4 linked regions of the Oreochromis niloticus genome follow. The protein of the gene in region 1 binds, or shares a complex with, the protein of each later gene. Links are inferred from orthologs where the notes say so. Each region holds a gene or a part of one and is shown on either strand. Other genes may lie near its edges. The genes, in order: cwc27, srrm1, snrpd1 and armc7.

The links.
Region 2: cwc27 (region 1) and srrm1 share a complex: the UniProt entries of both Homo sapiens proteins name them as parts of the minor spliceosome. The link is inferred for Oreochromis niloticus from reciprocal best matches to the Homo sapiens genes CWC27 and SRRM1.
Region 3: cwc27 (region 1) and snrpd1 share a complex: the UniProt entries of both Homo sapiens proteins name them as parts of the minor spliceosome. The link is inferred for Oreochromis niloticus from reciprocal best matches to the Homo sapiens genes CWC27 and SNRPD1.
Region 4: cwc27 (region 1) and armc7 share a complex: the UniProt entries of both Homo sapiens proteins name them as parts of the minor spliceosome. The link is inferred for Oreochromis niloticus from reciprocal best matches to the Homo sapiens genes CWC27 and ARMC7.

The regions. Positions count from the first base shown.
Region 1 is NC_031972.2:12,013,609-12,020,520, reverse strand, and holds the start of cwc27 (spliceosome-associated protein CWC27 homolog), read left to right. Parts: upstream 1-3,898; 5' UTR 3,899-4,285; coding exon 4,286-4,327; intron 4,328-4,455; coding exon 4,456-4,552; intron 4,553-5,014; coding exon 5,015-5,127; intron 5,128-5,238; coding exon 5,239-5,382; intron 5,383-5,544; coding exon 5,545-5,643; intron 5,644-5,731; coding exon 5,732-5,835; intron 5,836-6,912. Other genes in the region: ppwd1 (peptidylprolyl isomerase domain and WD repeat-containing protein 1), read right to left, coding at 132-314, 398-479, 562-743, 831-1,020, 1,211-1,401, 1,487-1,934, 2,054-2,174, 2,331-2,434 and 2 more. UniProt on the Homo sapiens protein: As part of the spliceosome, plays a role in pre-mRNA splicing. Probable inactive PPIase with no peptidyl-prolyl cis-trans isomerase activity. As a component of the minor spliceosome, involved in the splicing of U12-type introns in pre-mRNAs.
Region 2 is NC_031983.2:27,507,875-27,515,307, forward strand, and holds the start of srrm1 (serine/arginine repetitive matrix protein 1), read right to left. Parts: upstream 3,013-7,433; 5' UTR 2,882-3,012; coding exon 2,861-2,881; intron 1,948-2,860; coding exon 1,858-1,947; intron 1-1,857. Other genes in the region: tdh2 (L-threonine dehydrogenase 2), read right to left, coding at 6,030-6,175, 6,262-6,531, 6,614-6,704, 6,783-6,955, 7,048-7,197, 7,282-7,352. UniProt on the Homo sapiens protein: Part of pre- and post-splicing multiprotein mRNP complexes. As a component of the minor spliceosome, involved in the splicing of U12-type introns in pre-mRNAs. Involved in numerous pre-mRNA processing events.
Region 3 is NC_031985.2:21,347,921-21,355,517, forward strand, and holds the start of snrpd1 (small nuclear ribonucleoprotein Sm D1), read left to right. Parts: upstream 1-4,591; 5' UTR 4,592-4,732; coding exon 4,733-4,746; intron 4,747-5,306; coding exon 5,307-5,383; intron 5,384-7,597. Other genes in the region: ankyrin repeat and IBR domain-containing protein 1, read left to right, coding at 1-247. UniProt on the Homo sapiens protein: Plays a role in pre-mRNA splicing as a core component of the spliceosomal U1, U2, U4 and U5 small nuclear ribonucleoproteins (snRNPs), the building blocks of the spliceosome.
Region 4 is NC_031973.2:5,032,010-5,038,849, reverse strand, and holds armc7 (armadillo repeat-containing protein 7), read left to right. Parts: upstream 1-4,170; 5' UTR 4,171-4,390; coding exon 4,391-4,481; intron 4,482-5,235; coding exon 5,236-5,379; intron 5,380-5,461; coding exon 5,462-5,805; 3' UTR 5,806-6,329; downstream 6,330-6,840. UniProt on the Homo sapiens protein: As a component of the minor spliceosome, involved in the splicing of U12-type introns in pre-mRNAs.

The sequences.
Region 1 (6,912 bases):
ATTATAAGTTTGAAATGGTAATGTCACCATCTTACATGTAGCTGTCGTACTTTTTCAGAAAAGTAAATTGAAATCTTATTCACACAATGATAAAATACAGGTCTGAAAGTGGTTTTAGTTGGGCTACTTACAGTGGGTACCACGGTGACAAAAAACTGTGAGCCATTGGTGCCGGGGCCTGCGTTTGCCATGCTAAGTGTGTATGGGCGGTCGTGTCTCAGCGTGGCGTGGAACTCGTCTTCAAACTCCCCTCCCCAGATGCTCTCTCCTCCCATGCCTGTTCCTGTGGGGTCTCCAGTCTGAATCATGAAGCCCTGTCAACGACAAAGAGACAAACACTCAGAGCCGGAATCACACAGTTGATCGCCAAGCTTCATAAAGAAAAAGGACAACGTACCTTGATCACTCTGTGAAATATGTGGCCATTGTAGTATCCATTCCTGCTGTGGACGCAGAAGTTCTCCACAGTTTTGGGGCATCTAAAATCAAAGAGAGGAAAAGTTCTGTTTCTGTCTTCTAAAATGAAAGGAGGAGCCAAAAGCATTCACACTGAGGACTTACTCCACAGGGAAAAGCTTGATGTGGATGTCTCCCATAGTGGTGTGGATGATGGCACTGTCAGACACTCTCTTGGGGCCCTCGGCCTGCGTGGCGGCCATCACCTCTTCCTTTGAGGGCTTCTCGTTAAAGATGTCTCTGTCCGAATCGGCGCTCTTGGTATCCTCTGGTTCTCTCTTCGAAAACTTCAAAAAGAGACGACAAAAAACTTATAGTAAGAAGGGAAAAAAATGTAGCACTGTCACTTTGAAATGAATGCCTTTCTGTCTCACCAAGTAAAAGCGGTTCTTCTTAAAAGCACTACAGAAGATGGTTGGGTCAGGCTCTACGTTCTGTAAGGCAGGGTTGTCAGAAGCTTTCATCTCCACAGTGGGTGCCACTTGCATGGCCTTTGCAACACCCTGGAACAAACTCAGCTGAACCACACGGATGTTCTCTAGCTTCCCAAGGATCCGCACACATCTAGAAAACAAGAAACACAGGGCTCGGGAGTTATATGTCTATATAACTCTGCATGTGAAGTGGTGACGTTATCACTTTTGATTTCATCAGTTTGTATACTACAATTAAAATACTCATTTACATCTCTTAAACATTATTTTATTACGAAACACAACTGTGATTTAGTCTCCACCTTCATTTGTGAGCATACCTGTTGGTTTCCACATTGATGACCTTGATGCCCAGCATGGTCCCATACAGAACAAAGTGGCCAGTCTCATCAAAGATGATGTTTGTCAACCGGATACCATCCACCTTCTCCAGTTCTCTCTCCACAGCCATCCGCCTCCCAAACTCCATGTCAGGAAGCTGCTGTCTCATCTGCTGCAGCTCTGTGAACATCTAACACACATATAGCAGCTGTGATTAGCGTGCAAAATTCATAACGCTAGCAATGATCCAGGCTGAAAGGTGAATGGCAGGTTACCGTTAATGATTCATCAAACACTCGCATTAGTTTTCCTGTTAGGAATCGGAAGATTCTGACTTTCCTATCAGAAGCGATGGTGGCCATCTTCTTCCCATCGGGGGAAAAGGCAAGGCTGGTGGGATAGGTTTTGTGTTTTGCAAATTCATACAAGTCAGTGTCCGTTTTGTATTCCCAATCCACATGTTTGGGGAACTTGAATTCATTTGGAAGGCCCGTCCAGTACTCCAGCATTCCCGCTTTGTCAGCAGACACAATGACTCGAAACTTGGGATTCAGGCGGATTTGGGAAAGCGGTGCGGAGTGCATTTTGTCAAAGACATGGAAGGGGTCATTGCCTCCCCTGCCATCATAGATGAAGATCTTCCCTGTGGACTTTTCTGAGCAGGCTACTGTGCAGATGGCATCTCCAGGATTATAGATCCACTCAGACTGGCCTGGATGAAAGCTACATACAGACAGATCACAGTAGAGAAACCAATCAAATTAAAGGAGAACTTGCACTCCAAATCTATCAGCAGTAAAAACATTATTGTGTCTAGCAAGAAAATTTTCATTTAGACTCACCCCAACTTCAGCATATTGATCATGTCAAAATTGACCACGTCAAATACTTTCATGGCCTGATCATCACCAACCGAACAGAAAAGGGCCCCTTCCGCACTGACCGCAATGCTTTCTATTACACCTGGGCAAAAAGCAAGAACAGTGTTTATACACATCCTTTTCACTCATTAAAGACACGTTATATTATAACATACAATGCACCGGGTCTCCATAACCCCCTCTCAGTCCAGTGCCACTCCGATTGTTAAAAAGAAGTTATCACGAATTAAGTTCATACCGAGATGACTTCGAAAGTGTTTGACAAACTCTATCCCCTCGTCCTCCTTCTTCTTCCAAAATTTGACATGGCCATCCTGGCTGGCAGTGATGATGAAGTCTGTCCTGAAACAGCACAATGTTATGGCGTTATTTCAGCTTCAGCCTACTTTTCCTATCCACATCCCATCTACTGATGGAGTTAGACAATCTTTATTTGAAGTAAAGAGAAAATTTTAAAAATCAGGATTGCGAATATGGATGCATCAAAGTTTTTCTTTGTTTGCCTGTTTTGTTTTGGGGGGTTTTGTCATTCAATTTATGCCAGGGAAACAGATAATAATACAATAATACACTTTCAGGCTAAAAGTGATGAGACCCAACAGATAAATGTTAGCCATTGCTGATGATAAAATGTCCTCTTACACGCTCACAGGTCAACAGCAAACAACACAGCTTATATGAGCTGATGGAACTTCATTGTTATTACAGATACAGCACTCAGTGGCTTTTCAAACAAACAATGAACAAACACAACCAACTAATAACATGTAATACAGCCTGCAAGGTTCCTCTATAAACAGTAAGCTGCAGGAAATTGGCATGACTTGTCACAGGAATGATAGAAAATACATCAATAATAATTATTAAAACGGCTGCCCACTCTTAAATAAAAGAACTACTAAATTCTGTTGCTTCGTTTAGATTTCCCAGGTGATGGTATCATAAACGTCACCATTTTAGGTTGACTTTTTTTTTTACATATTACTTTGGGACAAACATGAATGCTAACAATGGATCAGCACAAAGACAGTCCTGGAATATGAGGTATACTGGTAATACTAATAATTGATAGTTTAGGCATTTTAACATTGGATCGCTTTTATTAAGGTGGTTTAATAAGCTGGATGTAAGTGAGTAGTGCTGTAAAGTGGAAAAGCTTTCTCACACATATAAAGGAAAGTTTCCTTGTAGCTGCTGACTTACTTTGTACAAACTAAGTGTGTGATGACGTCCCTGTGCATATAGCTCCGTTCATACATTGCAGCCGACGGGAGGTTGTCCAGATAGACACGCTCGTACTCGAGTACTGAGAGAAACAAATACACACAGAAGTTAACGGACGGCGTTTGGCGCTTTATTAGCAGTGATTAGAGAGCAGTCGCAAAAAGCTGCCAGTGTGCCGAATGAACACCCAGAATCCCACCTTTTCTTTTCTTTGCCTTTGTGGCTTCGCTTGGCATGGGTCCAACCCACTCGGCATCTTCTTCGTCCCCATCCCCATCATGATCATCATCTACTTTGCGCTTCAGTTCCACATTCTTTTCAGTAGCCGCCATTGCCGTGATCGCCCGTGTGGTCCTTCCGTAAATACGGTACTTCCGTTCAGCGCCTAAATCTCAGATTTTTTGTGTAGTTGTTTTTGTTTCAAGTACAAGTTGCTAAAATTCTACAATTATTAATTATAAACAACATGTTATGTGTCTCACTTTTTCTCAAGAACACATAATTATTAGGATTAATGAGATTACGCTGTAATTACACGGAACTTGTTGTTTCCAGGGGGCAGTTGTGATAGCGCACTAGGAGCGATCCAAAAATCTGTTTCTCGGGGTGAAGTACCGAGCTTGTTTTGGATTGTTTTGTCATCAAAACTCTCGGAGTTTGATTCACGTGCGAATAAAAGTTTTTTATGTATTTTATGAAAACAGAAAAAAAAACAAATTAAGTGATGTTCTTTGAAAAAAACGGAACAGAAAATCAATAATTAAACCGAAACCCCTATGTTCTCGGAAGTAAACAATCAACTCATGTATTGCCAATATGGCTGTAAAGAGTGAAATGTGAAATGTATCACATTTAAAGTTACCTACTGTAACAAACTTTACTATCTGTATATTCGAGGAACCTAAAGTTCAGATCGTGTGAGAATATATTTTTTATTCTGCTAACAAAACACAGAAACGTAGCGGCAGGATGAGCAACATTTACATTCAAGAGCCACCAACAAATGGGAAGGTAAGCGCCAGTTTACAATTTGAACTTTAGGTTTTTCGTGCATAATATTGCGGATTTGTAGGTACCAATAGCTAGCCACTCCTAACACTGTTTAGCTCTGAATGTATAATTTCGTGGTCTTTTCGCAGGTCCTGTTAAAGACAACAGCAGGTGATATTGACATTGAGTTGTGGTCCAAGGAGGCTCCTAAAGCATGCAGGAACTTCGTGCAGCTGTGCATGGAAGGTAAGAATTCACTAAGGAAGTGCAGAAACCACTGGAGAATAACCTCAAATTCAGTTTGCGCTAAATTAGGCCGAATTATTCCAGGCGTGCCCTTAAAATATATTGGTTTGGTAAAACTAGCCTCTTTAAGTATTAGGCCATGATGCGTGTAAGTGTTATATTTTTTATCTTATTTTGAAGATTATTGATGGACTAAAATGTGAAGAAATTTTGAGTCTTAGACATAGTTACTTATATATTTCTTAAATGTTAGCAGTCGTTTTTTTTTTTTTTTGTTCACTTGTAAGCAGAGAAATGGCTGCTGTCAGTGTACATAAGACTTTTTTTTAAATCCCAGAACCTATATTCAGCTGAGCACTGTCTTTATTTAAATGTCCTTGTTGGCTCAGATTTCTTGATTGTTAGTAGGGAACTGTTGTTGCCTTATTGTTTTTTAGTATACAGTATGTCTTGATCTTCTAGGTTATTATGATGGTACAGTGTTCCACAGAGTGGTGCCTGATTTCATCGTTCAGGGGGGAGATCCTACTGGGACAGGGGCAGGTGGAGAGTCCATCTATGGCCGACCGTTCAAGGTGAGAATGCTTTTCTTCTCATTTTATTTTTAATTCTGAAGTGGATTTCTAATTCCTATGTGCAGGTGACACTAAAATACAATGTCTTCTAAACTTTCTGTCGCCTTTCAGGATGAGTTTCACTCTAGGTTGCGCTTCAATCGGAGGGGTTTGGTTGCCATGGCAAATGCAGGGCCACATGACAATGGCAGTCAGTTTTTTCTCACCTTGGGACGTGCAGATGAACTCAACAATAAACATACCATATTTGGCAAGGTAAAGCTGTAAGAACATGATGACTTATTTTCTATCTGTATTCATGAATGAATGCTGTCTTCAATGAATATATGAATATACCAAGATGAGTGCCATTTTCCCCAGGCAGGATGTGATAAGAGTGTGCCTGACCATTTCTATTTTCTGCAATCCCCACTCCAGGTCACTGGAGACACCGTGTATAATATGCTCAGATTAGCAGAAGTTGAGTGTGATGGTGAGGAAAGACCTCTGAATCCTCACAAGATCAAATCTGCTGAGGTATTTTAGTTCATTCTATTTTACCTGCTCAGCAATATGTTTAGTATCTAGCTTCTGTAATTTAAGCTTTTCTTTTTGTCTCTCCTAGGTGTTACATTCTCCGTTTGATGACATCATACCTCGTGAAATAAAGAAACTCAAAAAGGAAAAGGATAAAGAAGAGACGAAGAAATCACAGTCAAAAGCCACAAAGTGAGTGCTCGGCCTTCATCTGTCTTTCTGATTGAAACAAGATCAAGACTGTACCCAGGAGCACCTGCATTTTTGTACATAAGGGAATATATTATGCTCATTTCCTTATCTATATATAGATATTTTCTTGTACTTTACTAGAGTAGCTTTGTATGATTCACAGTACTCATTTGTCTTATACTGAGTCTTATACTGAGCCTTGGTCTATACTTCATCATCTATGTAAAACAGGTTAAACCTTTAAGGCAACCCATTCTATATGCCAACTTTTTTAGCTACCCCCGGTGTTGTTGCTCCTTTAGCTTAGCACCTACCAGAAGACTACAGAGGTCATAGACCACAAAGTTATTCTGAAGTGAAATCGAGTGTTTAAAAACAATGAAAGTGTCCACTGTAGCTGCTGTTTATGCTTCTCATACTGGTCACTGGTGGTCACACTGATTATCTCTTCATCATGGCACATGTTAGTAGGTGAGATATGTTAGACAGAAAATTAACTTTTTCCCCCAATTGATGTTATAAGCAGGAAAGATATGCAGTGGTCAGTGTCATTGGCGGCCAAGGCTCGTTGAGGCGCCTGGGGAGGGACATTTGGCCCGTGTTTCAATCCAACAATCTAGATACTGTAGCTCAAACTGCCAAAAATGTATTGCTGTTTCTGATAGAATCAGAATACACAGTACATTACATTGTTGTGTATGCATAGGCACAGTCCAGTTAGCATGCCCATGCTGACCCCTGTCCACCACAGAAAGTACCAAGCATCAGTATTGAACTACAGAGCAGTGGAAGAAGGTGGCCTGGTCTGATGAATTATGTGGATGTGCATCATTTACCTGTACCTACCATCAGGCCTCTTTCATTTTTCAGCAATGGTTTGAGGACAACAGGCGCAACAATGATTTTTTAAGTGTTGACTTGGCATCCAAATTCTACTTAAAGGATCTGTTGCTTGCATCTTTGTGCCAGATACCATAGCACACCTTCAGGAGTCTTGTGAAGTCAGGGGCCAACACAGAGGGACCAACAAAATATTAGGCAGTTGGCTATAATGCCTGATTGGTGTATGTGCTGTTA
Region 2 (7,433 bases), on another chromosome or scaffold:
TTAGGGAAGAGAAGCAGCACCATTTGCAGTGTACAGTAAGTTTCAGTTTATAAGCACCTGAACAGATACAGGATCTCTTTCATACCATTTGTTTTCTTCTCTCATCTTAACAGTTTATTTCAACCCTGCGCTGCCCGATCACACTGTTTTATACACAGCTGCTTTAATTCCATCTGATATTTGCGATTCTGTTTTGTCGCCACATTTAGTAAGTCGTTTTTAACCATTTTATTTTGCTTTGCTATAAATATATTATTATGCAACATGGCTTTTCCTGGCTCAGAATGGGCACAAAATGCAATCAGAGCACAAAGCGACTGTGTTATTTGACAAAAACCTGTCCATTTCACTCTGATGTCTGACGACTAAATAGATTACACACAAATCCCACAATACAAAACACAGTGATTCATCTATGGCAAGGATTTAAATACATTTAAAAAAAAGCTTTACCATCCTTATAAGATCTGACTTACATGGTAAAAATAAACAGCTGAGTAATTGTATTTAAAAATGACAAAAGGTCAATTTTAAAACCTTCTTTGTCAAATAAAAGATCTAAAATTCTCTCACCAGGGATGGCTTTGGGGTGAAAAATGTAGTAAAAAGCTCTGCTTTATATTTCTGTATAAATTTATATTTTACTGTATTTATTTTAATTTAACATAAGATATTAGTTTTGCAATATTACATTTACTTTATGAGATGTCTCATTCTACTCTATAAAGCTGTCCCGTTTTATGTTTGTTGTATTTGACTTAACTTTTAGCTGCTGTATCAAAGAAGTTTCCCTTTTGGGATCCAGTTTAATTTTTATCTCGTTGCACCTTAAAATTGTTTTTATCTGACTGTGACGCTGTATGTTAAGGGACGTCAATCTAAGCTACACAAGGGTCGCCACAACAGGTAGCTCTTCATGTCTGATTTGGCATGATGCAACCCCAGAGGGATTTGTATTTCCTCCGGAGAACAAACCCGGGATCTTTTGCTTGTTAAGACAAATGTGTAAACCAGTGCACCATAGGAACACTTAGTGGTCATCGATTCAAAAAAATACAAAACTTATACATGCCAGAATTTATCAAAAAAGCTCATTTTCATTTCAAGCCCCTGGGCAGGTCACATGAACCTGACGTGATATACAAATAAAAATAGACAGAAGACAAATACAAACAACGCTTAACATTAATTTATCAACTGATAACACATTTGGCTGTTTTAAGATCTGCTTTGAAAACATCATGTGTCAAGTTTTCATTATAAGTGATAACCTGTTCCAATAATCACTTCTATTCAACTATGGTGCGCTCTAGATGGCGTCCTACCCTCAACCCCACTGTCACTTCTTTGTGTCCTTTTAAGACGTTACAGTGACAAAAAAGAAGGACTTTTTAAATCAAAAACTTTTGTGGCTTTCCTTAAATGTTACTCAACTATAATAATTGTTGTCCCACCTGTTAATGACCAGGCAGTCCCCTGCAAAGGTTCAAAAATGACATTTGGGTGGAGACTAAAAATATAAACAGGTTATATATAATTAAACCAAAGTTATAGTAATGCCTAATTAACAGAAAAATGAACATTTACCTTTAATTTTTGGCTACTGGATAAAAACAAAAAACAAAACCTGACTTAAGCTCATTAATCACAGGCCTGGTGAGGTGGTGACCACTAAAATGTCTCTCACAGACACCCTCATACCTGTGGTGTATGAATGTCCAGGCTCATGTTGATACAAGTTTGTAGATAACTATTTAACATGATTTTTGAAGATTAAAATATTCTGATTTTACTAATCACTAACAGTTATTTGGAAAAAAAATGTCAAAACAAATGTCACTGCGGGTAATCATTTACCTTTTTGTCCAAACATTCTGCAAATTTCAGCTGCTTCAGCAGTTTCTTCTGCTTGTTGCTGAAGCGGTTGTCCTGCTCCGCACTCGTACCCTGCAGAAATAACAGCCAACATCAGCGGACTCGTGATGATCAGCTTTCACTGGACATGTAAAATCAGAGGAGGACAGAAACCCGTCTCGAACAGTGTTTATAGTCTCAGGCTGCACAGCCTCCTCACTATTGGGCCCATGTTAGTTACAGCAGTTTTACTTACCGATAACATTATTAACGACAGTCAAAGTTTAGGATGGAAAAACATTACGTTGCTTACGCTAACGCGTCTTAAAATAAAGACTTAAGACACGTGTGTTCCCTAGAGCGCCGCTTCATGTTCTTTTTAGCTCCTCGACCTGAGCCGCAAACGACACTGACACCAGTCGGCTAGCATTAGCCATGCTAACCACTTGCTTAATCCTCGAAAGCGAACGCACAGGCTAATAATAGGCACAGCCCGAAGGCTACTTTGACTGACAGCGGAGCTGACATTGACAGAATATTAAAAGACACATTAATGTCATTATTCAGCAAACACGGAGGACTTGCTAAGGCCAGCACAGCAGCAGTCGTGACTAGCTCATGGAGACAGGAGCGATGCACCGCCCGGGCGCCATCTTTAGTTAGCTAGCTAACTTGACTCGTCTATTTCCTGTAAATGTGTCTGTAAAATAACACGTACGGGGTTTTAACTTAGGAAGCTACACATTTTCATAAACTATAGGACAGAAAACATCAATGTAGGGAACACGCAATAACTCCCAGAATACACTAGGCGAAGCAGACTGATTGCAAATCTTGAGACTGTTGGCTCCCAGTTGATAGACGAAGCCCTGACCGCTGTTTAGCTAGCTGCATGGCTCTTCACTAAAGACACATAGGAAACATCCATCCCATAAAACGTATATAGATCTACATAAAGCTAAATAATAATATACCAAATACAAAGATAAAAGTTTGAAGAACTTACGCGGAAGAATCCCGCGTCCATTTTAGGTGAAATGGTTCGTAACTGCTGCTGTGGAGAAAGCCGTGTGCTGCTCCGCCGGTGAAATTCAGGGTGACGAGCCGGATAAATGGAGTGCCCCCACAGGAAGCAACGGGTACTGCAGCTACAGTGAGGAGGAAGAAGATTCCGCTCATCACCTGATGCACGAAATATGGCAGTCGCTAGCTTAGCTTTTGTTATTCTTGAGATTCTGCTGCTGGCTTTAAATGTGCTTCAGGCCTTCAGTGCGCCACACGAACTTCCATTATTTAGCTCATTGCTCTGCTTTGACCACATAACTGCAGCTCCAACAAACGCTGGTAAAGGTAAACATGGGGAGATATTCATCTTCATGGAATTATTTATTTCAATGTACACTGAAATAAAAGATTTTGAGGTCACTTAGGAATGTCTCTGTTTAAATTAAAAAACAAACAAACAAACCCATCTATGTACTTTCTTCTTGCCGCTCCTAGGGGTCACCCCAGCCTCCGTTTGCCCTCACCTCACCCTATCCCAAGCATCCTCCTCTGTTGCAACATCCTTCTTCTCTGTGGTCTTCATCTTCTCCTCCTGCCTGACAGTTCCATCTTCAACATCCTTTGTCCAATATAGCTTCTATCCCTCCTCTGCACATGTCCAAACCATTCATTCATTCATTTTCATTCATTTATTTCATCTCACCTTCCTTGCTAACCTGTGTTGTTCCTCTCGTGTACTCAGTTTTACTCATACCTCTTCTCTGTTCTCACCACAGATCACAATGTCATCTGCAAAAATCACAGTCCATTTTGCATTAAGTGATTTTGGCAAAGCAGTCAGTGACTGGAATGTGCCTCAATATGCAGAGACAGCTTGCACAGATATGAATAAGACCCAAACCTTGGTTTAAACTGGTTTGCTCAAATGTTGTTGATTTTAAAAAGTATTTTGTTTTTATCCATTGTCCAGTTAGGAGCTTGTTGAACCTGAACCTCACCAACCGCCATTCACCAGTAAGAATAAATGCTCAGATAAACAAATGAGAAAAACAAAAAAAAAATTGTGATGTATAATAATGATGCAAAATTTTGCTTCTGAAGAGATTTCTTTGGGAAACCTTAATAATAAAATTAAAGAGCTTCCCATGAAGCTCCGGGGGGAGGGAGCCCCCGTCCCAATTCCAGCCAGAAAACAAATTCCACATTCATAACAAGAGATGGGGGCACTGAAAATCAAATTTGGACCATATTTGTCAAGAAATGAATCAGTTGGACGGAAGTCCAGACGCTTTTCTTTGCAAACTCCTTTGACTACGATGACCTGGATGACTGAGAATCTTCACAGACAAATCAGTTGGACATTATATTTGGAGCCCTGTTCTATAACCATTTCCTTTAGTTCTTTACAGAATAAATTCAACAGATTGCTGGAAACATTCTGCAGAAATTTTGGTAAATCCCCCCGACACCATTATACCTCCACCAGAAGCTGGAATTGTTAACAAATTCCCCACGTGTGGGACTAATAAAGGTTATCTTATCTTATCTTATCTTATTCCAGACAGGATGGATCCATGCTTACGTGTTGTTACTACAGTTCTGACTCTATCATCCAGATGCTGCTGCAGAAACAGAGCCTTATCAACCATGCAATGTTTTTCCGGTCTTATTTTGTCCAAATTTGCTGAGCTTGTGTGACTTGTAGCCTCAGTTTCCTGTTTTTAGCTCACCCAGTAGGACTCAGTGTCGTCTTCTGCTGTTATAGCCCATCTGCTACAAGCGTTGATGTGTTGTGTAGTCAGAGATGCTTGTCTGCAGACCTTGGTTATAACATGTTTTTTTTTATTTTGCCTTCCTGTTCGCTAGATTTTCACCAGAGCGGCCACTCACTTGGTATTTTCTCTTTTTTAAACCTCTGCAAATCTTACAAATGGCTGTGTTGGAAAATCTCAAAAGATCAGGAACTTAAATACTCAGACTAGCCAGTCTGAAAATAATAATTTAAGGTGTCTTAAATCATGTTTCTTCCCCAGTCAGATGCTTGGTTTGAACTTCAGCAGGTTATCTGGACTCTTTCTACATGCCTTAATTGGTGTGATTGGCTAGTTAGATATTTTGAACAGGTGTACCTAACAAAGTGGCTGGTGAATACCTTAATTTTGTATATGTTACTCGAATAAATTAGAGAATGAAAGCATAGATGAGAAAACTTTAACTATTTCTTAAATAAAAGTTAAATTTTTCATTTTATAGTGTTCTTGTTTTGATGCTGATCGGGTGTTTCGGATGTAAAAACGACACAGAAAAAAAGAAACTTTGGCAGCATACGATATTCAGTGCTCTTTGGGTAAATAATATTTTTATTGTTAAAGGTCTGATTCAAAGTACACAGCATTTTTTAATATATTGTTTTCCTAAGTAAATACGGCCTCATTTGATACTGTTACTCATTCATATTTGTAATCACACCGCTGGCAAAAAAGTAAAGGCTTCCTGTTCTGTGCCACGGCAAGGGTAGTGCGGTTGTATATACTGTGAGTTTCACTTGATAGTCTATATTATAAAAGAGTGCTTTACAAAACAGCCAGGATACATGATTTTTCATTACAGTCCAAAGTCAACTGAGCCAGTCATTCCAGATGATCCTGGATTCAAAATGTCCAACAGATTTGTTGTTCTACACGTGGAACTTGTCCATATTGTATTAGATATTGTAACAGACGCTGAAACACGCTGGTGTGCCCATGCATGTGATCAACATCTGAAACTCTTTAAAGCTTAAGAAATATTTCTGTTCCACCTGAGGCAACATGCCCATGTGTAAAGTGATGCTTATACCATGAGAACAATAAAAACCACAAAGATGAAGAGAAGGTTTGACAGTATCTGATTCCCTGAAAAGACTGAAGTGTGTGTGTCTGTGTGTGTGTGTGTGTGGGTGCACATGTGTTTGACATCTCACTTTCCACTGAATATAAAGAGGTTATGACTGAGAATTTCCATTTTACAATCAGTCCCTGGCACGGTGCAGCGATGCTCCAGACAAACAGATGATACTGGTTGACAATTTGTAAAAGTGAAGTAAAACAAAGTGTGCTGTTGGTAAATGTAGACTGAGGAAAAGTTAGTGGTAGGTAGGGCATTGGTTAGTCTTGATGCAGCAGGTTTTGCTAGCTGACTGGCAAACCCTCGTTGGTCCTCTTGTCTCGGATGGAGCGGAGCATGTCCGACACCAGCTCCTCAAGCCCGAAGGCTGGCGCCCAGCCCCAGTCTCTCCTGGCATTGGTGTCATCAAATCTCACAGGCCAGCTGTCTGCTGCAAAAAACAAACAAGGACAATTTAGTTTTATATTGGTTTATTATCAGTCAAACCAGTGATTTAAAAACAAAAAGATACCATACCAATGGTCTGGCGGACAGTGTCGGGATTGTAGGTGACCTTGAGGTGAGGGAGATGCTTGCGGATTTCTTGGGCCACCTCTTCAGGGGTGAAGCTCATGGCAGCTATGTTGTAGGTGCGCAGTGACAGCTGGCACTCTGGAGCCTGCATGAACTCTACCGTGGCACGGTGGCAGTCAGAGATATGCATCATGGGAAGACGGGTGTCGGGTCGCAGGTAGCACTCATGGTGACCCGTGCTGAGAGCATCATGGAAGATCTGAACTGCGTAGTCTGTGAAGACAGAAGTCCGGAGCACTTAGTCCATGACATCCAACGGATTGGAGTACATTTGCACAACACACACAGGTAATACCTGTAGTTCCACCACCAGGAGGCGTGTTAACTGATATCACTCCAGGGTAACGCAGGCAGCGGAAGTCCAAGCCATATTTATGATGGAGATACTAAAGAAAGAGAAGCTGATTGAAAATGAAATGGAGTCACAAGCGTCTCTGTAAGCACGCGTGCAAAAAACATTTTACCTCCCCCATCAGTTCACCATGCACTTTAGACACGCCGTAGATGGTTCGAGGTCTTTGAACACAGAGGTCAGGGGCCGGGTCACGTGGAGAAGAGGGACCAAATGCCCCAATAGTGCTGGGGACAAAGAGGCGCAAACAGTTCTCTAAGGCCAAGTCCAGCACATTATGTAGGCCTGGATGGGCAGAAAAGAAGAGAGCACGAGTTCAACCCTGATTGTTCCTTAAAACCTGGTTACGTGTAAAGCATGTGCATATTCAAGCAGACCTGTGATGTTGATCTTTCGTGCCAAAGCCACATTAGCCTCACCCACAGCACTAAGCAGAGCGCTGTAGTGGACCAGCCAAGTGATGCGGTTATTTACAATAAGTTCTCGGAGGTGTTTGTAGTCCAAAACATCAGCGTATACAAACGGGCCTATAAAACAACAGTGATGCCAGAAAAAAAATAAAGTAATTAACTTTTAAAGTAATACGCATACTTGAATGAGATTTTACATACCACTGGCGTAAACATGAGGTGGAGGCTTCTTGATGTCTGACAGGATTACATTGTCCCTTCCATACTGTTTTCTAGACATTAACAAAAATATGACGACATTTAAACTTCAAACCTTTTAGCAAGTTTCAAAATCTCAGGAATTTCTACAATCT
Region 3 (7,597 bases), on another chromosome or scaffold:
ATATTTAGCCAAGGCTGAGCACGCCGCCTCCTGCCTCTCCACTCCAAACCCCGCACATCCTAGTTCCTATAACCGGGAACATGCAGCCACGTACAACAGCAACCCTAAACCAGACAGCTCCTACAACCCCTGCCCTGAACACAGCAGCTCTTACACCGCAGAGCGCCCTGCTGCCTACGCCCTCGAACGCCCCCTAAATCAGAGCCCCAGCCCCTACCCAGTTGTGCCTCCCATCTCCAGAGCTTGAGCCAGAGCTGCTGCTCTCACCAGTGATTCCCCAAGGGGGCCCTTTCACCCCCAGTGACCCTCAGAGCCTGGAGCCCTTGGACCCCACAGCCAGCGCTCAGCTGCTGGATAACATCATGGCCTGGTTTAACAACAACATAAACCCCCAGAATAACCCGCAGAGCCTGGCTCTCATCCCCTCCCCGCCCACCACAGAGACGGACTCCTCTCCTGACACACACACCGAGACTGAGAGCCAGACCTCCGCCCCCATCCGGCAGCCCCTGGAGGGCGAGTCGGAAGTAGGCAGAGGGTTGGCGACCGGCCCACCGGGAGCCGAGGGCGTGAAGACGTCGAGGCCGAGCACTCTGGAGCTGGAAAAAAGAGACGCTGGAGAAGAGGGTGTGGACGCAGGGTGTGTGGCTGACCTGTCGCTGGACGAAGCGCACACACACCCGCACTCACACTCCCAACATGGAAACAGTCCCGCACACACTGCCCCGGCAATGGAGAGAGACTCAGACCTCGTCCTTCAGTTAGAGGAGGACCGGTCACCTGAAGAGTGGACGGAGCAGGAACACCTAGTGTGAAAGTGACAGATATAGAGAGAAAGAGAAGGTAGAGCCGAGATAAAGAGAAAGAAAACCAATCAGAGAGAAGCACTGATGGATGATGGAAGATGTGTGATGGTGGTGCCTGTGTTTGGGGGGTGGAGTGTTTACTGTATGTATTATACTGTATTTAGAGAGGACTTAAAGACCTGTGGACTCTGTCCAGTAAAGATGATGTCATACACGTTTTGATTATTTTTAAGTGCTTTTTGTCTGCTCTAAAAACAGACAAATTATTCTTTGAAGTGTTTAAACCATGAACGGAGAGCTACTGATATCATAACACAACAAAATGCTCCATGTTTTAGTTTAGTTTAGTTTTTTTCTTATTTTAATTTAATTCCCCACCTCTTCTGTTTGTCTCCTAAGTTTGTTCAGGGTGAAGTTTTGGTGCTGTTCATGCTGAAATCCAAACTTGCCTCATTTAACTACACTTGATTCTCACACTAACCCAACCACAAGCCAGTTCAGAGCTCCAAGAGCCAAATATATGAAGATAACTGTAACTTTGGAGCCTGTTTATAGCGTGCTGTACAATCAGAGGGCCTAATTCTGATTTCTGGACCTTCATGCACACTGTGCCTGTTTGTGTTAGTGCCAATACAGTCCTGATCTTACTTTTCAGCAGGCTGGCACAGTCTGCTGCGTAAACGTCACACTATTACAGCACCTCTCTGCACGTGAAGGTCAGAGGTCAGTCCCAGCTGCAGAGCAGCGCCCATAAAGCTGGAAGTTCAGTGGGTGCTTGTTTGCAGAGTGGATTGAGTTCTCTGTTTTTTGTTCTGTTTGGGCTTTTTTTGGGGGGGGGGGGGGTTGTCTTGTTTTGTTTTTTTGCCACTCGCTGCACATTTCAAATGTTTTGTATCAAAGATGCATCTTCATGTTTAATCTGCAGAGATTTACAGTGTTTTTCTGCCACTTTGGCTCAGTACTTGTGCACCAGATCTCACGTAGCAGACAAAATACAGTGGGTATTAAATGAGGTAATGCATCAACCAATCAAATTAATCTGAGAATAATGATATCCAGTATTTAACCTCCTCAGATCATTCATAGTTGCTTTGATTTTAAAAAACTACAAATATCACGGAGGAAATAATTTGGCATTTTAAGCTGAAGACTGACTTCAGAATGATCCTTTACTTTATTAAACCTGATAAATAAAATACAGTCAACAGGTTTAAAGTGCTTCACACAAGTCGTCCAATTAAAATTATTAAATGTTTAACCAATTAAAAGAGTAAACAGTTAGCAGACGGTAAACTAAAATATGCTTTATCACTTTGGATTATGCACAATGTGTTTTAAAGTTTGACTTTACACTGCAGCACATTTAAAAAAGCTGATTTTTCATAAAAAGTGAGATTTCAGCCACTTTCACAAGTTTTGTCTTCACAGAAGCTGCTGTAAACAGTTTTTATACGACTGTAAAATAAATAAATGAGAATATATTGTTAAAACGCTGCTGCACTGATTCATGAATCTGTTTATTGTTTGGTGCTCGTGTGAGTCGGTTCTTTGAGTCGTGCGGTTTCTGAGCCAAAGCAGGCATAACAAATACTGTAAATGTGAGCACATTTTATGGTTTTATGTAACTTTTTATCATATCTTTTCCACTACCTATAGCGCCCTGCAGTGTGCTCTAATTGACGGGACGTGGGTTTGGGTTTCTACTGTATTTGATTCTTTTTATTCCTTTAATTATAGACAAGATGTTTCTTCCTGTTGAGACCAGAGTTGTTGGATCTGTGTGCCTTTTTCTTTGTTTTGTTTTGTTCTGATTGTATTTATCTGTTGCTATTTATTAGTGTCATTGCTTTTTAAACATGCTTCATAATGAAAGATGATGATGAAAACACTTTAATACACTGATTTTGTTTTATCCCCCCCCCCCGGGTGAGTCGCAGCGCCCACATTTTCAGCCCTGAATGAAAAACCTCTTTGAGCCTCTCTGAAGGAATCCGCTGCTTTTCCACGATGATTAAAAAACACTTTATGTGAATGTTGACCTTTGATTTGACACCGCCTCTGAGATGTAACTGCCGGGATGTCATCAAGCCTCAAATCTTTAAACTTTATTGCCCAAATACAATGTTTACAAGGGAACTAAACACTGCCTGCTGTGATGAGGACTGATTTGGTGCTCTGGGGAGTGAAATGAGAATAAATGTGAGGATTTTAAATGTCCTTTGATGGTATGCCAGACAAATACAAAGACACCCTTTGTAAAACTCAAACTGACTCACTTAAAACTGATTTTTAAGCATTTTCTGAAACCTGAAGTGATAAAGTGAGAACTGTGAAGGTGGCTGGCTCATAGCATTGCACGAAGCCCGCTGAGATGTGAGGGCAGCTGTGACATTTCAGGCTCCACTCCCTGAGGAAAGAGGGATTCACGTCAGTGTTTGGGCACGCACTGCGTCTTTGTTTCGCAGAAACATGCTGGCGAGTGTCGGATGTGTGGTCGGGCTGCAGAGGGACAGCGGTTAAATATTCCCTTTTTTGTATGTGTGCCGTCGATGGCGTCACACAAGCAGTTGCATTAGTGTTTATGATTTAGTGCTCCCTCATCTGACATCTTCAGAGTTTAAGAGATTGAAATTGCACTCTCACAGATTATACTTGATACATTCCCAGCTGGTCAAAAGAAAGGGTTTGATGTGTGGCCAAAACTAAAAATGAAAGTGTCAGTGCAAAGTTTACTCTCAATAAAAAGAACTGAAAGTGCACTGCAGTGACATTTTTATTTTTTTGTTTTAGTGCTTTGATTTCTGAACTTCCATCAGCAAGAAAAGGGAACATGTTCCCTGATTAGTCTCCTATTTATCATAATGTACAAGGTAGACTGACATTATTTCACTTCATGTTGCTGTCAAATCCGCAACAGCTCTTAGCATGTACATGGAAATGATAAGTAAACCCATTATCTTTAGGTTTAGACTGCATTTATTTGAAAAACTAACACAGCTGCACCTCAGGAGAGCAGAAGTGTTAGATTTTTCATTTGTTTTTATTACTTTTTTTTAATTGATTTTGGGTTCGGGAAGGCTTTCCTTATTTTAATTTGTTTTCATTGTGTAAAATGCTTAGTTTGATTAGTTTCACGATTTATTTCTGTAATCTGTCAGGAGGAAAATTTTTAGATATTCAGCTATTACAGCACAAATCCAATGCGGCATCTCAGCCTCACTAAGTACGACCAAACTGCCAAAGACTTAAACAAGACACAGCACTGTGCAAAAGACTTGAGTCGCCCTTTGCTTTCTTTATATTTTGCTTTTAAGCAGCCAAACTTCTCGATCTCTGTTCTTGAGGCTTTCTGAAGGTCTTTCAGTTTTTATTTACACCTCAGGGATGCATCTGGCTCTTCAGTTCATACACCTACTTGTCAGTCTCATCAGAAATCTTTTTCACTGGAAGGATGTCTGTGAAGAAGATCTATTTTCCTAGCAAAGTAGAAAGAAATAAGGGTATCTCAAGACGTTTGCACTGTATTGTAGCGTTTTTGGATTATTTGTTATTTAGTTTACACACAGTAAGTTTTTACTGTTGTTACAGTTTACTACATTTATGTTGACACTTTGACAACATATATTATAATAAAAAATATATATATACGCATTTCTTCTATTAAATATTTGCTTCTGTAAAGTTCAATAAATCCAAAGATTTGTTAGATTCGGGGCATATGTTCAAAACGCTGTTTATTCTTCCATCGGTAGGCGGCAGTGTTGTCGTGCAGCGTGTCTTCTTCTTCGTCGCCGTCGCTCCTTTAATGACGTCGTAAGTGCGCGAGTCAAACGTAATTGTTACCACAGCGGCCTGTGTGTGTTTTCACCCGCTCGCTGTAATTTTTCTCTTTGGTGGAGGATTTGTCTCTACAGTCCATCACCATCATGAAACTAGTCAGGTAAGCAGAGTCTGGAATGCGCCATTTAACGAACAGGTGAACGTGGGATGATGGAGTGAGGGTGCTGCGGCTGGATGGGTTTAGATGGAAAGCGGAGAAGAGGAGGATAAGATATGAGCGGGAAGCATCGGGCCGAATGAATGGAGGCTGTCCGGAGTTACAATGCTCACACTCGTAGTTAAAATACACCTGCAGTATTAACCCTGACGCTCGGTAGTTGAAATTAGCTCTATGCATCGACGATTTTTAAACATACTTTGGTTCGTGGACGTTAGCAGACTCGCAGGCCCGGCCTTGGTTAACCTGCTACTCAGCGAACGAAATGAACGTAACCTAAATGTTTAGTAGCAGGAGCACAAAGCTAGTTCAGTATTTGTTTTAGTTATGGCGGTTAAATCTGGAGGGTTTCAGCGGGTTTTCATAAGGTCATCTCACTCCTGGGGTGGTTTTGTTTTGCAGCTGAAAGCTATGCAGCTAGTAGCTAGCTTGAGGCTAGTTTGTGGTTCATTTCCAGGCTGAACTCAAACATAGATGTTCGTCTTCTTCCACGATGCCCACAGGTTTTTGATGAAGCTCAGCCATGAGACGGTTACCATCGAGCTGAAGAACGGCACCCAGGTCCACGGCACCATCACAGGTAGGACTCAGCTGGAGGTGCCTTAACGCTTTTATTAGTTGTGCTGCAGTTTATTAGCTACACTAAGCTAATTCAGTCCACTAACACTGCTGTAGTTCAGTTGTTTCAAAGTAATTTTAATGTAACGGTGGCCTGTAGGGCTCATTTTCAAGCCAACACCCAATTCTACCTAAAGCTAGAGTCCTGTGGAAATACTGGGAAATGTTTTTATATATATATATATATATATATATATATATATATATATATATATATATATATATACATACATACATGTGTCTCACTTAAATATAAGCAAAGTATGCAGGTCCCAGGTTTGCGATTAATCATTTTAAAGATCAATAAACTGGTTTTAGCTGAATGTAACTTTCCCAGCTCCCTCTTTTGGTAAATACAGTGAGCATCACAAAAAGTGAGGTTTGTTCCATAGTCTTCTTATGCTTGTGTATTCCCTTACATGTCCCAATAATACTTCAGTGGGAAAGCACTATTAAGTCCTCCTGTGCATTGTACTTCTTCGCTGCTGTTTTCAATTTCTTAATAAAAGAATAGCAATCATAGCATCAGTATAAGGATTTATAGATGTCACTGAATTCCTGGAAGGAGTTTGCAGAAATTATCGAAATGGAAGACGGGGGATATACAAAGGAGGAAGTGGGGGGGGAAAACAGATCTAACCTCAACAAAGAGTTGTAACCTAAGATATTTTATTTGTTTCTATCAGCTGGCACTGCTTATGAAATGCTGGGATATGACCGCACTGTAATTAGCACATACTGCACCACACACAGCATAAATGTTATAGGACCTAGAAAGATTTCCCACAGAACTCTAAATCAGATAAAACTGTTAGCTTTGCTAATTCTGTGTACTGCGTGACTTCATGTCATTACTCTCCACTGTTAAATGTGCTCCAGTGCAGCCCTCCATAATCCAAACTGCACAGTAGTCAACATAGATGATGCTGTGTTTGTGGGAAGGAAGTAACAGCGGTGTTCACCAGGAATGTTAGAAACACAACAAAGAAATGATGTGCAAATGAAGCATAGAACCAGTACTGAGCCAATTCATCAGTTGCATTGAAAATGGGTTCATTCATTCACAGCTTTGTTTCAGTGACATCTAGTGGTGGAGTAGGAGTCAGCAAAACAATGTGTCGATAATCATGTGCTGATTGTAACAAGGGTTTGTTTGAATGATATAAATACAATTTTGCAAAGGCGGTCAGTTGATTCTGTAAACTTATGTAATAGTTGGAAGGAGGCGTGCTTTGGGAAGCCCAGGATGTGCTGGGATGGTAAGGTGTGCTTATGTACAGGGGATTTGAAGATTTTTATTGAGAAACGATATTTTTTTCCACCATTGTTAGACTGACCTGGCTTCTTTTGCTATTGACAACTTTACAGCTTTCGAAAACACATTCACATGGTTCTGATGAGGGGTTACGAAGCATCTCTCGTTGCATAGCAGTATAAACTTGTTTGGACCAGTCATGTGATTTCAGTCAGGTCCACACCGAAGCAGATGTCACTGATCAAGTGTTTGGTGTTGTTGTTTTTCCTCGCACCGATGCGAGCTTTAAAGCGGCTTGTATTGGAGCATTAGTGTCATACAGTCATCCACTACAATACAGAAAAAAGCACAAAGTACAGACTGTGGCCGCAGATTATACTTTCCCTAGTTTTTAAACACTTCAGCTGTTTATGTCATAACTTCGCCCTTCTCCACGGTTGGCTGGTTGATCAACAGCACATGTGGCCCACAGACAACCTCCTTTGACACGTGCGCCATCTGACAAGAGACGCTTGCTTGTAGGTAGATGAGCTATCCACGTAATAACAACACACCACCTATAAACCTTAATTTCAGCATTTGTCTAAACCGTGTCAGTGATGACAGTCTTCCCTTCTTCCTTCACAGCCATTGGATAAAAGACAGACTTTAGACAAGTGCTTGTATGATGTACAGTGATGAGGGACGTGAGAACGACTGACACAAAATGCAGTGCAGACCCACAGAAAGTGGGCATCTGGTCACCCTTCTTCCATTGTGATTCAAGTCGTCCGCAGTAAAACACTAACAGATTGATGCCTTACAGTTACTGGACTGTTGGCAAATATGTTTGCATTCAGTGCTGACATTTTAGGTTGCTATGTAAAATATTAAAGGAGCTGGGAATAGCTGAAAGATTTAAAACTGCATTTTCTTTATCTG
Region 4 (6,840 bases), on another chromosome or scaffold:
GCAAGAACATGTTAAATGACACGATACCTGTTCAAATAGCATCAATTAACACACAAATTCAGGTTTTTTTTACTTCTATATGATAATTCTTCATAATTAAAGAATAAGAACAAGTAGTCTGATGTTCTGTAATCATTATGAAGCTATAATTTGAAATACAATAACACATTACGTTTTTGTACAAAGTATCGGATCAGTATCGTCGATACCACCCTGAATTTGACTTGGTGTCTGATCAGAAAGGAAATCAGTGGTATGCACATCACCACTATGCAGCCGGCCTCCTTCAGAGGAGATGCCCCCTGCTGGTTAACAGGAAGAAGGCAAGATTAAGGGATTTCTGCACAGGCAGACCCACAAGCTACATCCATGTTTTGTATTTACAGTCTATGGTTATACTGCATCTGTTATTTTCTATTGTTAACTATCATAACTGCTGATGTACACAAGCGAAAGATACCCAGCTGGATCCTGGGAGGAGACAAATCCCTTGGCGGGTTGCGCCTGGCATAAAAAAAGTCTGTCAAATCAAACATGCGGCGCTACCTGCTGTGTTGATCCCTTGTAAATAACAGAAAAACTAAGAGTAGCTTTCTTTATTTTAGAGTGGAGAAAAGCAAACAAGTACATTTTCTCATGTAAGCACAATTTCTAAATCCTTTGAGAATTTAAAATTTTGTACTTCTTTACAGTAGAATGCTGGACTAGCTCCAAATGGCCTTTTCTCTCTATCTACAATGTTTAGTTATAAGTTACAGATCTTATATTTGAGTGAATAATTATTTCATGTCACACTGACAGTGAATTTAAAACCTTTATTTTGACAGTTCAGCGTCAGTTATTACTGAAAATACAAGTATAAGGGATTTTAGTCGTGTTACAGCCATCAGACTGAATACATCCCAACACCAAGGAGTTTGATTTTCCTGCTTCACTGAGCAAAAACTGAAGGCAGAGCTGATGTTTGTTGAACGGGATTAGCGTCTGTGCTTTGACTTTTAATCCTGACTACAATAAAGTCACACCAATGAAATACAAATGAAAACCTCCACAGTGTGCATTTTAAATAAATGATCTTTAATAATGTATAGCACAAATAATTAATAATTGAAGAGAGTTTCATTCATACAGTCCATTAGGTTGCAGTCAACTCTGCCCCCTGCTGGAAAAACAAGTAAGTAAAGGAAGATGCTGGTCAAGCTCCTTTACTGGGCATCTTGGACAGTGTTGTGTCCAGCCCAGATGTCTATACAAATCTGTGAGGGTTACTTCAATAAATCCATTACTGTAAGCAGGCCTCAGTAAAAATATTCAGCAAAGCCATCTTTGCACATGTGGACATGTGCAGCGTCCACCTGTGGAGACCTGCTCTGTATCACAGTCTGCTGCAGAGGCACTGAGGTTCAGGCTGCTGCCGCCTTCAGCCGCTCCCTCCTTGCTGCTTCTTCTCGGTCAGCTCGTCGATCTGCTTCTGCCGCCTCTCCAGGACCTCCAACCTCTTGGTGTCGTTGCGCGCTCGCTCCTGAGCCCTGAGTTCAACGACGTCCTCGAAAAACCTGTGTCTGCGCAACAGAGGAAGTATCGAATGAAAACAAATGAGAATTATGAGAATTCATTAGAGAACCAGAAAAAAATGGTAAGATTACAACCTTTCTTCTAAAGTGACGTGGGTGGTTCAGTGTGAGAAAACAGATTTTGATTTTACTTTCATGGAAAAATATAAAACTATAGCTTTACCAAAAAAAATGTTTTGTATATTCAGTTTCTCTCAGTTTAGTTTCAAGTAGTCTTCAGAGTGTTTTTGGAAACCTACTCTGTTTCCATTTTTCTAACAATAAAAAAAGAAGCTGTTGTCCAGTGTAACTAAATACTCATCTTTTCTTTCTCTTTTGTTGAATTTTGACCAAAGAATCAGCGGAATCATCAGGATTCATCCAGTGATGTGAATAAAAGCACAAAAAGTACTTAAACACATCAGATCACCTTTCCTGGGTTCACCTGATGTGATTCTAAAGACAACAGTGAGGATTAAACACGTTTTCAACCACAAGAAATCTAATCACAGTCATCGCAGAAGTCTGCTTGCTGTCGTTACTGAAGCTCTTTCTCCACTAAGTTTTAATAATGAGGTTATTTCAGGGCTCCTTCAAAGCTTTTAGGGATGTCAATTAAAAAGAAACAACCAGCTGTGTCAAAATGTCCAGTCCATACAACAAAGCACTGAACAGTAAAGATTTCTCTTTGGACTTTTGGTCACACAAAACACAGCTGTTCAATCTGAAGAGCTTCTCCACTGTGCTGTAAAATCGCTTGTGCACTAACGGCATGAACGAGTTAGTGGGACTAAAAGTTAATTGTATTGATAGGGCTTTTCTAGAGGTCTTAAAAACAACATCTGCAAATTCAATACCTTTAACATGATTTAAATATTATTAAAGGCATTTTAGATACAGCCAGGCAGGAGGTTAGAGCCCATCTCAGCTGTTACAGAGCAGGTTATCAGTCTGCTGCAGGGCCAACACAGACAGCTGTTCACAGTTCAGTCATTTTATTGTTCCTGCCGTTAAACCTGGTTTACAGACAGGCTCTCCAGAAATCATGCACAAACAGCAATACAAAAACAACAAACAGCAATACACAACAACCACAAAATAAATCCACATTCAAAATACACCAAATATACAAAATCATAATGAAATGTATCACATAAACTGATTTTATAACGCTCCTGCACAGGGAACAGAGCAGCTCTCTGTCCTCTTACACCTTACTCGTGGCACTGTCGGCATTTCTTAATTGAATGTTACTTAACGAGACCTTGTAATAACCTTGAAGCAAATCTTCATAGCTGGGAACTAGACAGTTTTATGTCAGTCAGGGAGCTCATGGACATCACCACATACTGAGTTTCCTCACTCGCAAATTCTCCGCCAGATTCTCTGAAATTTATTCTTTCTTTTTTTTTTCCTTGGGAATGTGTCTTTTTTTCTTTTTTTTTTGGGTATTTATCGTCTTGGAACTTTGCTCATTTTTTCTTGGGAACTTAATGATTTTTTTCTCATAGGTTTGCATGTTTTTTCTCATAAATTTGTCCTTTGCTAATTTCTTTGAAATGTCCTATATCTTTCAAATAAGCTTGCTTTTTTTTTGATTTTGTAATTTAATGCCTCTGAACTTTGCTCATTGTTTCCTTAGAAATTTGCCACAAGTATGTCTTTTGTATATATACATATATACAGTATATGCAATTTATTTTCTCGGAAATGTGCTCCGTTTTTTTTTAACAAAGTTAGCATATTATTGCCTTATAAATTTGACAATTTTTCTAATAAGTTTGTCCGTTGTTTTTCATTATTGTGCCATTATTTCTCGTAAATTTGCTATTTTTTTTCTGATACGTTTGCCATTTTAAAACAATAAACTAGCTATTTATTTTTTCGTTAATTTGGCATTTTTTCCCTACTAACTTTGAATGCTTTCTCTCTGTAAATTTGCCCATTTCTTTCATCAAAAATTAGATTTATTTTTTTTTTGTAAATTATCAATTTTTCTAGTAAGTCTGCCGAATTTCTAAAATTCTGACCTTTTTCTCTTTAACTCCTAAAGGGCTGCAGAATGCTGGGCCTAATACGCAGTCGTACTACTTCCCCTGTAGCACCTTTTAACAGCAAAGTCGTGCTGCTTTTATAATCTTCACTTCTGATCGGCTCTTTCGGAGCTGCATATTTATTAGGTGTGCAGTAAACACTTGCATGTGCACATGTCACGTACATCATGTCTGTTACGTACAGGTGGCTGAGCTGTAAACACGCTTTAACGTTACCTGTTAATGAAAGCAGCAGCGAGTCCAACGATGATCGTCCCGAACAGGATCGGTTTGGCGAGCCGTTTCCCGGCGGATAATTTGTGCTGCTTCATTTTCGTGGCTTAATTTTGCACTTTAAACACTGACCTTCCCCTACAGTTAGCTGAGGTGCTGTACACGCCCCCTTCGTGTCCCACAGTTTTTAGCAACTTCCGGTACCACGTGACACTAGCTTCCGCTTGACAGTTTTTCTATTTTGTGTCATGTTGTATGAGGGGGTAGTATTGCCACATTAACAAAAAACTATGATAGACGACCTTTAACTGCGTGTGAAAAATGTAAATCAGATTTGATTCTATGTAAGTGCGGCTTGACCGTATGTTAGCAGATCGAAACTGATTTTAAAACAAAAATCGTTTAAACGGAACCTTTGTCTCATCCACGCAGCTACACGGAGCAATTCATGGTCAGACCGAGCCGGGAACGAACTGAGAAGAATAATCTTAAATCATTTCCTCGAAAAAAATCTCGTTTTATTTTATTTATTCATTTTTTAGCTAAAGCGGAGAGCGGAGCTGGTGGTAGATGATGTGGAGGAGCGGCTCGTCCGGAGGCTCTGACCGCTTTGAGTATTTACAAACTCTGGTCACCGAGTTTCAGGACACCGACAGCGACGGTGGGAGCAGCTGTGTTTGGATTCACCTTTAAACTCACTACTCTGCTTTCTTCTGTTATCTTTTTTCCAATCTTGCCTTTTCGTCTTTCTGCTCCAGCATAAGATCCACAAGACAATAATATGAATCATAAAATAAAGTAAATAGAACAAAAACATTAACAAGAGGTACCTACAGAAAGCCTAGGTGCTCCTCTTGGGAGACGTACATCATCAAATAATTATTTAAAATTTGAATTTATTAAATACACATTTATTAAATTGAAATAATTAGTTTTATTTAAAATATATTTCAGTTGTTATTATTTCATAGTTCTGGGCTAAAACACATCATGAATTTATGAATGAATGTCAACCTCACCTATCAAAGTCAGGGGGCGGGGCTAATGCTGATCTGGTCAGTATCTTTACCTTTCCGGAGTCGATTCTTTCAGTGGGTGTTTCTCAGTTGCAAGTACGCTAAGGAGTCCAGCCGTTCAGCTTCAGAAAATGAATTATTAATTCAGCGCGTGTAGCACATTAGCTGTGCGCAGGCAATCCGGGCATGGACTGCAGCATTATCTGGGATCAATCTTCTTAACTTGCTGTGCAGGGTAACCAATCAGATTTTAAGGTCTGTTGACCTGCCACAGATAATTTGAAATGAACTAATATTTTAATGAATTAATTAGACTTTTAATTAAATATTTGTCTATTTAATTTTGGCACTCCATAGTTCTCATTTTATGTGATTAAAAGCTTTGTTTTTCCTCCTCAGAGGCGAAGGAACAAGTTCTGGCTAATTTGGCCAATTTTGCATATGATCCAAAGAACGTGGAGTATCTGAGGGAGCTGCAGGTGACTGACCTCTTCTTGGACATGCTGACTGAGGAGAATGAGAACTTTGTGGAATTTGGGATGGGTGAGTGTCACATTGACATCTCGTTCATTGTCTGCAGCAACTGTCAAGCCTTTATCTCTGATTTTGTCTCTCGTGATCTCAGGGGGGCTCTGTAACCTCAGCATGGACCCTGAGTGCAGAGATGTCATCCTGCAGAGCGACGGCATCCGCTTAGTCACAAACTGCTTGTCGAGCCGGAGGGAAGAGACGGTCCTGTCAGCCATCACCACCCTCATGAACCTCCTGACACCTGTGTCACGCTCTCAGATCACCGATCCCGCCATCCTGCAGTGCATGCTGCGCTTCTCCCTCTCCGAGAGCCCTCGTCTACGCAACCTGGCTACCGTGTTTCTGCAGGACTCCTGCAGCGAGGAGCAGGTGGCGCAGGCGCAGCAGCAGATGGAGGGGCAGCAGATGGCAGTCGGCATCCCGCTGCCCAAAGACTAAAGACAAAGCACAGACCTTTATTTTTTTTATAAGTGTGCTCTCTGTGAGAGCGTCACAGATGATTCACCCAAGGGAGCCAAAATTCGATATGTTGTTCCAAAAAAAATAAAAACATATTGGATGTCCACTCGTAAGAGGTAATGGATTCACTTGACAAAAATGATGCTGATTTTTTGGAATTAATAAAGTTATTATCTCATTAACTGTGAGTAAACCTTTCATTATGAAAAGTGTACTCCCAGTTTATGAGGTATTTAAGGCATCAACAAGATACCTTAAAATACCAAAACAGCAGTGACATGATGGCTGCCCTCTGTGAGCCTGGTTTCTTCAGGTTTCTTTCTCTTAAATGGGAGGTCTTTCTTCTTGCTGTCGCCAAGTGTTTGGTCAGAGGCAGCTGTTTGATTGTTAGGGTTTTCTCTGTATTACTGTAGGGTCTTACAATATTACGTCTTGAGGTGACTATTGTTGTGATTTTGTGCTATTTAAGTAAATTTGGATTAAAATGAAAGCGTGTGGTTAAATTTGACTTCGAGTCTGAAGCCCTCTCAGTGGTCAGTAAGATCAGGAAATTCTTCTTCTTCTCTTCTTCTCCCTCTGGGGGTCATGTGCCTCCATCTAAACCTATCCGAACATCGTCCTTTGTCACACCAATCCTCTGCATCTCATCCTTCACTACATCCACAAATCTTCTCCCAGGTTTTTTTTTCCCTCCTGCCTGGCAGCTCAGGCTTCCTTCGTCCAATATATCCACTCTCCTTCTTCTGCACACGTCCAAACCAACTTTAGCCTCATCTCTCTAACTTTGTATTCTAAACACTCAACCTGAAATGCACGTACATTACATCTTAAGCTTTAAATCAAAAGCCTGACATTACTGCACTCTTCACATATTCTTTCAATCCTTTTGGAGGATACATCCAGAAATCCATAAAACTCAATCTTTGCTACTTGAAATGCTATTGTCCCTCTTAACCATTGTCTTGTATACTAAACCAAGTATAGACTTAACTAATAACATGTTATTTCTTTGCT